Rattus norvegicus: one gene and its partner. The protein of the gene in region 1 purifies or fractionates together with the protein of each later gene. This does not show direct contact. Links are inferred from orthologs where the notes say so. Each region holds a gene or a part of one and is shown on either strand. Other genes may lie near its edges.

What was found.
Region 2: the proteins of Nudcd3 (region 1) and Klhl9 purify together in Homo sapiens (co-immunoprecipitation; 3 studies listed by BioGRID and IntAct, with this or other methods). This does not show direct contact. The link is inferred for Rattus norvegicus from reciprocal best matches to the Homo sapiens genes NUDCD3 and KLHL9.

What each region holds. Positions count from the first base shown.
Region 1 is NC_086032.1:85,189,502-85,192,926, forward strand, and holds the end of Nudcd3 (nudC domain-containing protein 3), read right to left. Parts: intron 3,211-3,425; coding exon 3,100-3,210; 3' UTR 775-3,099; downstream 1-774.
Region 2 is NC_086023.1:108,450,797-108,455,073, forward strand, and holds the start of Klhl9 (kelch-like protein 9), read right to left. Parts: upstream 2,881-4,277; 5' UTR 2,434-2,880; coding exon 580-2,433; 3' UTR 1-579.

The DNA of each region.
Region 1 (3,425 bases):
TCTGGAATAGGGAGGACCACAGAAAGGAGAAGTCTGAGATCTAAGTGGATTTTGAGAGACACAGCATTGTATACTGATGAAAGCCTGCGTTCTAAGGGCTTGGAAGCCTGTTAAACAATGAGGAGGGATGGGTGTAGGCCAGTTTTATGTCAACTTGACACAGCCTTAGTCATCTGAGAGGAGGGAATCTCCACTGGAAAAGTGCTTCTATAAGATCTGGCCATAGACAAGCCTGATCTAAAACTAGGCATTTTCTTAACTAGTGACTGCTAGGGGAATACCCAGCCCATGTGGGTGTTGTTATCCCTGGGCTGCTGGTCTTGGGTTCTGTAAGAAGGCAGGCTGAGCAAGCCAGGAGAAGTGGGCATTCCTCCATGGCCCCATTAGCCCCTGCCTCTAGATTCCTGCCCCACTTGAGTTCATGCCCCGACTTTCTTCAATGACCGATTATAGCATAGAAGTATAAGCCAGATATACAAACCCTTTCCTCCCCAAGTTCCTTTTGGTCATGGAGTTTAATCAAGGCAATAGTAACCCCAAGAAAAGGAATCCCCAGCAGGGTGGTTCAGGATTCTGAATGGGTCTTTATAGTAATAATAAAAATTAATAGCTTATAGAATTTCTAAAAGTAGTGACAGGTCATGAGGAACAACCCAGAGAATTTGGTTTTAGTGTTAACCACGTACAGGGACTCAGGACTCATGGCCAGAAGTCAAGGGTAATGACCACTCACGGCAGTGTCCTAACAGTGAACGTCACAGACAGACCCAGAACTGCTTAAATACAGATTTATTGCAAACCAACACCGAGGAGCCAGAGCGACTTTGCAGGCTGGACACCCCACTCTTTGGGTCTTTGGACAAAGGGGACAGAGTCACCCTGCTTTCCTCAGACCTCAGCTGGTGGGACTTAAAGGCCAAACTGTGGCTGTCGTGTCTAAAAAGAGAAAACAGGCAATGTGCCAGCTTCAGTGGCTTGGAAACCAGGGTAGGGCCTCAGGGCAAAGAACAGGGCATAGAACTATCTACTCGGCTGGTTGGGATTGAGTCTCCCTGTAATGCAGACATGTAGACACAGTAGCCACCACCACACCATGCACATGCCACAGGGATCAGTCACAGAGCACAGGTTCCTGCCACATGGCCTCTACACAAATACTATATCCCTCAGGCTGTTTTCTCTATACAGCCTTGTTTGCTCAAATGGGGCATCGACAAAGAAAAAAACATAACACGGAAAATAAAACCATGCTAAAATGATGAAGATGAGTCGCTACAGAGTGAAGCATTGTCCTAAATAGAAAGATGCAGGGCTCTTCCACATCATTACTCCTTCTGCAAGACTACCCACAGGATGAGAGCTGAGAGGGAGGCAGCCAGCTGAGAGAGAGGGCTGCAGATACATACACACCACGAGACTTCCTTCACTAGGTGGGAGAGCTTGCATGGGACAGGGACATGCACATCCTAGGACCTTGATGGAAACTTCAAGAACTAAAAGCGAAGTGTCCTGGGGATCTTGTGAATGTGACAGAGTCTACTCCCAAATGATGACCTCTTTAGAGAGATGTCATCAACCTGGTAACCAATGTCCAATCACAAGCTCAGACGCTGGAGTTGGTATTTAGGTTCCGATGCTACCCCTTGCCTACCACCATGGTCTACCTGGGCCCACAGATTAAATCCCAGTATGGACTTTTAAGAAATAAACCAGAAATCCCTCAAATGATAGCAACGAGCCAGCTCCTGTCTAAACAGTTGAGTAAGTTCTACAATCTGCTCTTCCAAGGGCTCCTTCCAAGCACGTGGACATGGAATTCGGTGCAGGGCTATTTCCAGAGAGCAGGCTGTTTGGCTTCAATGGGTCTTAATTCTTGCAGTTTGTATGGTTGGTTACCAGAGTACAGAAACCAGTGCTGTGCACACCAAGACTGAGAACCAGGCAAATGGAGATGCCAAGGCACCAACAGCCACAGAGAGAGTCCTTAAAGGGTTGGGACACCTGGGTCCTGGTCCCTTGCTCAGATTCTTACCCCTTGGCTGGACTGGCCACACAGGCTCTGAGCTCTAGGAAGCAGTCTGGTGATTGGCACAGGGAAATCTTCATTTTCTTGGACTCAACTGTAGTTGCCTTCAAGCTAGTGGATACACATTTCTTCCTGAGGCATCCTTCAGGGTCAAAGCTCCTTAGGGAGTGTAGTTGACACGATCTGCCAATGAACTACCAATATGCTGTGATCTCTTCTTGAAGGTACCCAGGCTTCAATGCAGCATACCCAAAGAGGAGGTCTAATGGGGGGAAGCAAGTAGTGGTGGCTAGTCTTAGTTCACTTCAACAAGGATCAAAGCAGGCAGCTGCAGTCAGAGGACAGACAGGATCCTTGCCACACCTGGGCCAGAGGCCAGAACCTCAAACTTTCTCCCAACATCTCAAACAGACCCTAGTTTCTGCTGCTCTACCCATAAAACTGAGGCAGGCCAAGTGTTTTCACAAAGAAATGAACAAGATGGAAAACATACACACACAGCACACAAACACATATGAGAGAGAGAGAGAGAGAGAGACAGACAGACAGACAGACAGACAGACAGACAGACAGGTCAACAAGTGAGGGAACCCCACAGCAGCCCCAGAAGGAGCCCCAGAGCCATGCCCCATTAGCCCTCATGCATGTGCCTGGCCCCACACAATTCAACTTAGCTTTGTCTGAGCCCAGCCACTCCTTATCCCCAATCAGAAGACAAGCAAGCAGAATAGCGTCAAAACAACAGCAAGCAGAGAGAACAGGGGAGAAAGGAAATGCTGCCTGCAGTGCCTGGTTGCTGTGGAGACAGAACATGTGCTACCAGTAGGCTGGGCCATGTCCCTCCTGCATGTCAAACACCTTCATTTAGTGTTGGCCATAGACACTGCCAAGCAGCTGGCCCTGCACCTTCTCTAGAATAGTCTGAAGGTGGAAGGTCAGCAGGGAAGGCCTGGTTCATCATGAAAGAAAAAATGGCTAGGACTGATCAGGAGGGGTGAGTCCCTGGCATGCAGGGAGCGAGGAGGACAACTCTCCATCTCCCCGATGGCGAGGGTTTCCTTTACTTCCGGTCATTAAAACTGCACAGCCCCTGGGGAGATGTTGAACATGGCCGGGTCGAATCGCTGGCCTCGGAAGGGAGAGCCTTCAGCATCCCACCCCTTCTTCAGCATCTCATGGACTTTCTACAAACAGAAAATAGAGAGATTAAAGGAGATCACAAGGCACTGCATGCTTTCTCCTAGAACAGACTGCCTGCAGGCAAAGAGACATCCTGCTTCTTCAGGGCTTGAGGATTTGCCTGCTAGGGCCAAATGGCCAGAGGACAGCAGGCCCTGCAGTAAGTAGTTTGTGCCCAAGGGAGGCACCTACTGACTGCCATTCCTCTGAACGAGTCTTT
Region 2 (4,277 bases), on another chromosome or scaffold:
TATGTACACACAAAGTTTTGTGTGAGTGTATCTGACTAGTGTACACATCTATTATTTTTCCTCCAGTGATAACAAATCCTGACCTGTTTCTTCTCGCTAATTTTGTCACTATTTCTGACTACCTAAGAAACTTCAAATATTCTAAGACTAATCACACAGCCTAGTTTAACAGATTGTCCAAAACTATCCAAGAGGGAGGTAGCGGTACCTGGCAATCTTTATTCTAGATTAGAACAGGGGCCTCCACTTAATGTTTCAGTCAAATCAAATGTTTCAATTTTTTAGTATAATAGACATCATTACACATTTACTATGATCTACAATTTGACATATGTAACACTACAAAAAACATCTAATTTTCTATGTATCTTTTTCACTTGTTAAACAGCTGAATATATTTAATACTTTTCAAAATGCACTTGTTAGCCATCTAATAAACAATTTGAAGCCAAACAAACAACAACAAAAAAAAAAACCTAAGTTACCTTTTTGTCTATTAACTGTAGCAATAAGGAGAGACAATTGAAGGGGAAGTACAACACCATCCCTGATACACTGAAAAGGTATTACACCTTGAATCTAAGAATGATCTGAAGGTGCTGAAAGAGGTGATTCTCTAGAAGGTGACCCAGGGTTTTCTTCAGGTGGAAAAACTGTGAGAGTGCAAGCCCGAATGCCACCAAGTGACTCTGGAAGATCAAAAACTTTATGCCACTCATCTTTTTCTGGGTCATATTTCTGGACAATTTCTACCATGCAGCGGTTATTCCAAGAATATCCACCAACAACGTAGATTTTGTTTTCGAAGACCGCAACTCCAACATCACTCTGACCTCTTAGCATAGCAGCAATTGGTGTCCACTGGTCAAGAGTTGGCGAATAGTATTCGCAGCTTAGGACATCATCATAATCACTTGTTCCTCTGAAATGGTTGCCACCAATGACATACAGCTTGTCTCCAACTGTACACATGCAATGCAGACCTCGGACTGTAGTCATAGGAGCCTTCTGTGTCCATTTGTCTGTATCTGGGTCAAAACACATGAGCTCATTTTGGAAAGTGTCATGGGTAATTCCTCCGGATATATACATTAAACCCCCATATACTGTTCCAGCATGGCCATAGTGGGGTTCACTCATTTTTGCAACATAGCTCCATTCATTCATTCTTGGGTTGTAACATTCTACTGTGGCCAGTTCACCAGCTGCACTGCGTCCACCAACTGCATATAAATGTCCTTTGAGTGCACTCAGGTGAAAAAATGTGCGCTTTTCGTTTAATGATGCCACCTGCATCCACTTATTATAACGAGGATCAAATCTGAAGACTGTATCAACAGCAGTTTTTCCTTTTGTGTCATAATTACTCTGACCACCAACTACATAAAGGAAGTTTCCAATAACAGCAATGCCGTGCTGGTATCGAGGAGCATCCATAGGGGCTAACGATTTCCACTCCTGCGCCCTTTCGTCGTACATCCGTAACTCTTTACTTACAACCAGCTGTTGCCTCAAAACTCCTCCTAACGTAACCAAATGAGTAGAATCTGATCGAATGGCAGTTCTGTCTGACTGCATCACTGGCTGCATATATGGCATCATTTGGTAATTGCTTGCTTCCAAAAGTAAATTCACACAGGTATTGTCAGTTCTCATGAAATCTACTGTCTGCACATAGTTGATGAGATCCTGTGGCGTCATCAGTGGGAAGCGAATATTCTTCATTAATTTTGCAGCATAGTCCATCCGAGGGTCTTCCAGCCTCAACCAGCGGCAGGCTGCCTTGAAGAGTTCAAGTTCAGAACAGTGCTTGAGACTATTGCTGGAAAGCACAAAGGCAAGCCGTTCAAAGGGGAGTTTTAGAAACTCCCCGGTACTCAACAAGGCAGGAAAGTTCTTCAGGATGAAATTATTTACGTATTTATCCACTTCTATAAGATTGTAGGTGTTAGCAATCCGTCCAACCTCAACACAGTTATCTAAGGAGACACCAGATATAAGAAATACTTTACAAAAATCCAAAACCGGCAAGATCTGTAGAAAGCTGGCAGCCTCAAGAGTATCCTGAAGATTGTCCATATTGAGAGAGAGTTTTGCAGTATAAATAAAATCAATGATTTTCTTCAGACCAACTTTGTTCACCCCATGAAGCTTAATGCACATTAGATCTTTCTCCTTCATTCCTCCTGTGAACATGGCCTTGAAATAATCACTGGCAGACGCCATCATGGCTCTATGAACTGGGAAGATTTCCTCTCCATCGCCTGGTACCAGAGTCACGTCACAAAGCAGTCCCTCTATTCTGAGCTGATCAAAGCCTTGCAATACAACAGAACTGTGCGTATTGCTGGTAAAAAACCGCGTAGTTCCAGCCTTGCAAGGCTGCAGGTGGGCAGAGACGCCCATCTCGCCGTTACCGAGCGACACCTTCATGGGAGAACCCGGAGCTCGCAGCAAGCTGCAGGCCGCAGACGTTACAAAGAGAACGCTCTGGGGAAACGCAGGGCCGCCGAACAGGCAAGCGGTCGCCGCAGCACCGCACTGGGCACACCGACGTCCGCCCTGCAGCAGCACCACGCACGTCAAATCTGACAGTAGAGTCGGTGAGTCATCACCTGAGGCAGTTACGTGACCGCTTCACCTCGTCCGGCCCGGGTTGTCGTCCTTCGCCGCTGCGCTCAGGGTGGGGGAGGGGCCGTCACGGCCTGCGCACCCGGGCTGCCGCCCTCCAAGGTTCAGCACCTCAGCGAGCTGCGGCTGCGACTTCTGCGGTCTTCGATGTGTCTCTGCGGCCACCGGCTTGGCTTGGAGCAGGGCCTGGAATTCCGACTTGGGCCTAGAACGGCGGCCTAGCACCGACGCCCAGCTCGACCTTCCGGAAAGGCCGAATCCCAGGATCCCCCGGGCTAGGAGCAGCTGCACAGCTAATGCGCCTGCGCGGCTGACCTGGCTAGGGGGCGGTGGATGGGGGAAGGGCGCGGGCGGGACTGGGGGCGGGGTTCCGCCCGGCCAGCCAGGCCTGCGGAGAAGCCATTATGTAAGCATTCAGGAATGCTCGTGCGTGTGCTTAAGCTTGCAGTGGTAGGTTTTCTTAGCACTTTTTTTAGAGCGCATTCTTTTCAAGATTTACGCCAATGGTCCTTGCCAGAACAGCAACGAAACGCAGCCTTTGTTCAAACAGAAGAAACCTGGCAAGGGAAATCAGTGTATCATTTTAATGTTCTTTTCTTCAAGAACAGTTTTACAGTTTGCATCACACTCGATTTAATAAACATCTCAATTAAAATTTTGTTTGTAAGATTTTAAAAAAAACTTTTAAAACACATGACATTTAACTTGTCACTAAATTTTGGTCCTAATGATACATTTTGAATATTTGGCAGGAGAGTAATGCCTTCAAAAAAAAATACCTGTTTTCAGGGGTTTGCTTTCCAAACACTATTATGATCTGTAATAACGGTCTGAAATAACCTTAGAGGATTTGAACACAAAACTTTACCCTCTTTTGGATAATAATATTTGGTAGAATATTCAAGTCAATGTTTCCAAAATATTGTACCACCAATGCCTGGGTCTGTGTTTCCCTTGTGTTGAACTTTGCTTTTATAAGTATTTTTTTATTAACATGCAGTTGTTTAGCTACTGGCAGATTTTAATTTTGATTTAAGAAAAAAGTAAATAATTTGCCATAATTCTCAATTCTCGAAGTTTGAAGTTGTTGCTGTCTTTTAAATCCTTCTAGGGTTTACCTGTATGCAAACTAAGAATATACTTATATTTTTCTGTTCCACTTCCTGACTCTTTTCTAAATGGCATGTATCCTACTTGATTTTTCTTTCCAGTTCAAGATTTTCCAAAATTGGTATATAGAGAGCTTACTTACAACTTGTTGGTGACCAAAAAATGTATGCAACTGATTTACTTAACTATAAGTGGTTAATCTTCCTTTAATTTCTCCTTCCTTCTTCTCCCTGTGGTTTCTGGACAATTGCAGCAATCCAAGGAAACCAGTAGGACAACATTCTTTTCCCCAAACTAGGAGAACAACACCGTGGTCGTCATTACCCCCACCACTCCCATCCCCCCAGGTGCTCTAGCAGATCGCCAGCCTGTTTGACACCAGAGTTTTGTGAAAATGAGACTGGTGAGTGGTTTAATCCCAGAACTCCTAGGGACTAATCCATCGACTAGTCTCATTTCCACAAAACTCTAGTATCAAACAGACTGGAGCACACATAGAGGGACCCATGGCTCCAGCGGCAGATGTAGCAGAGGAT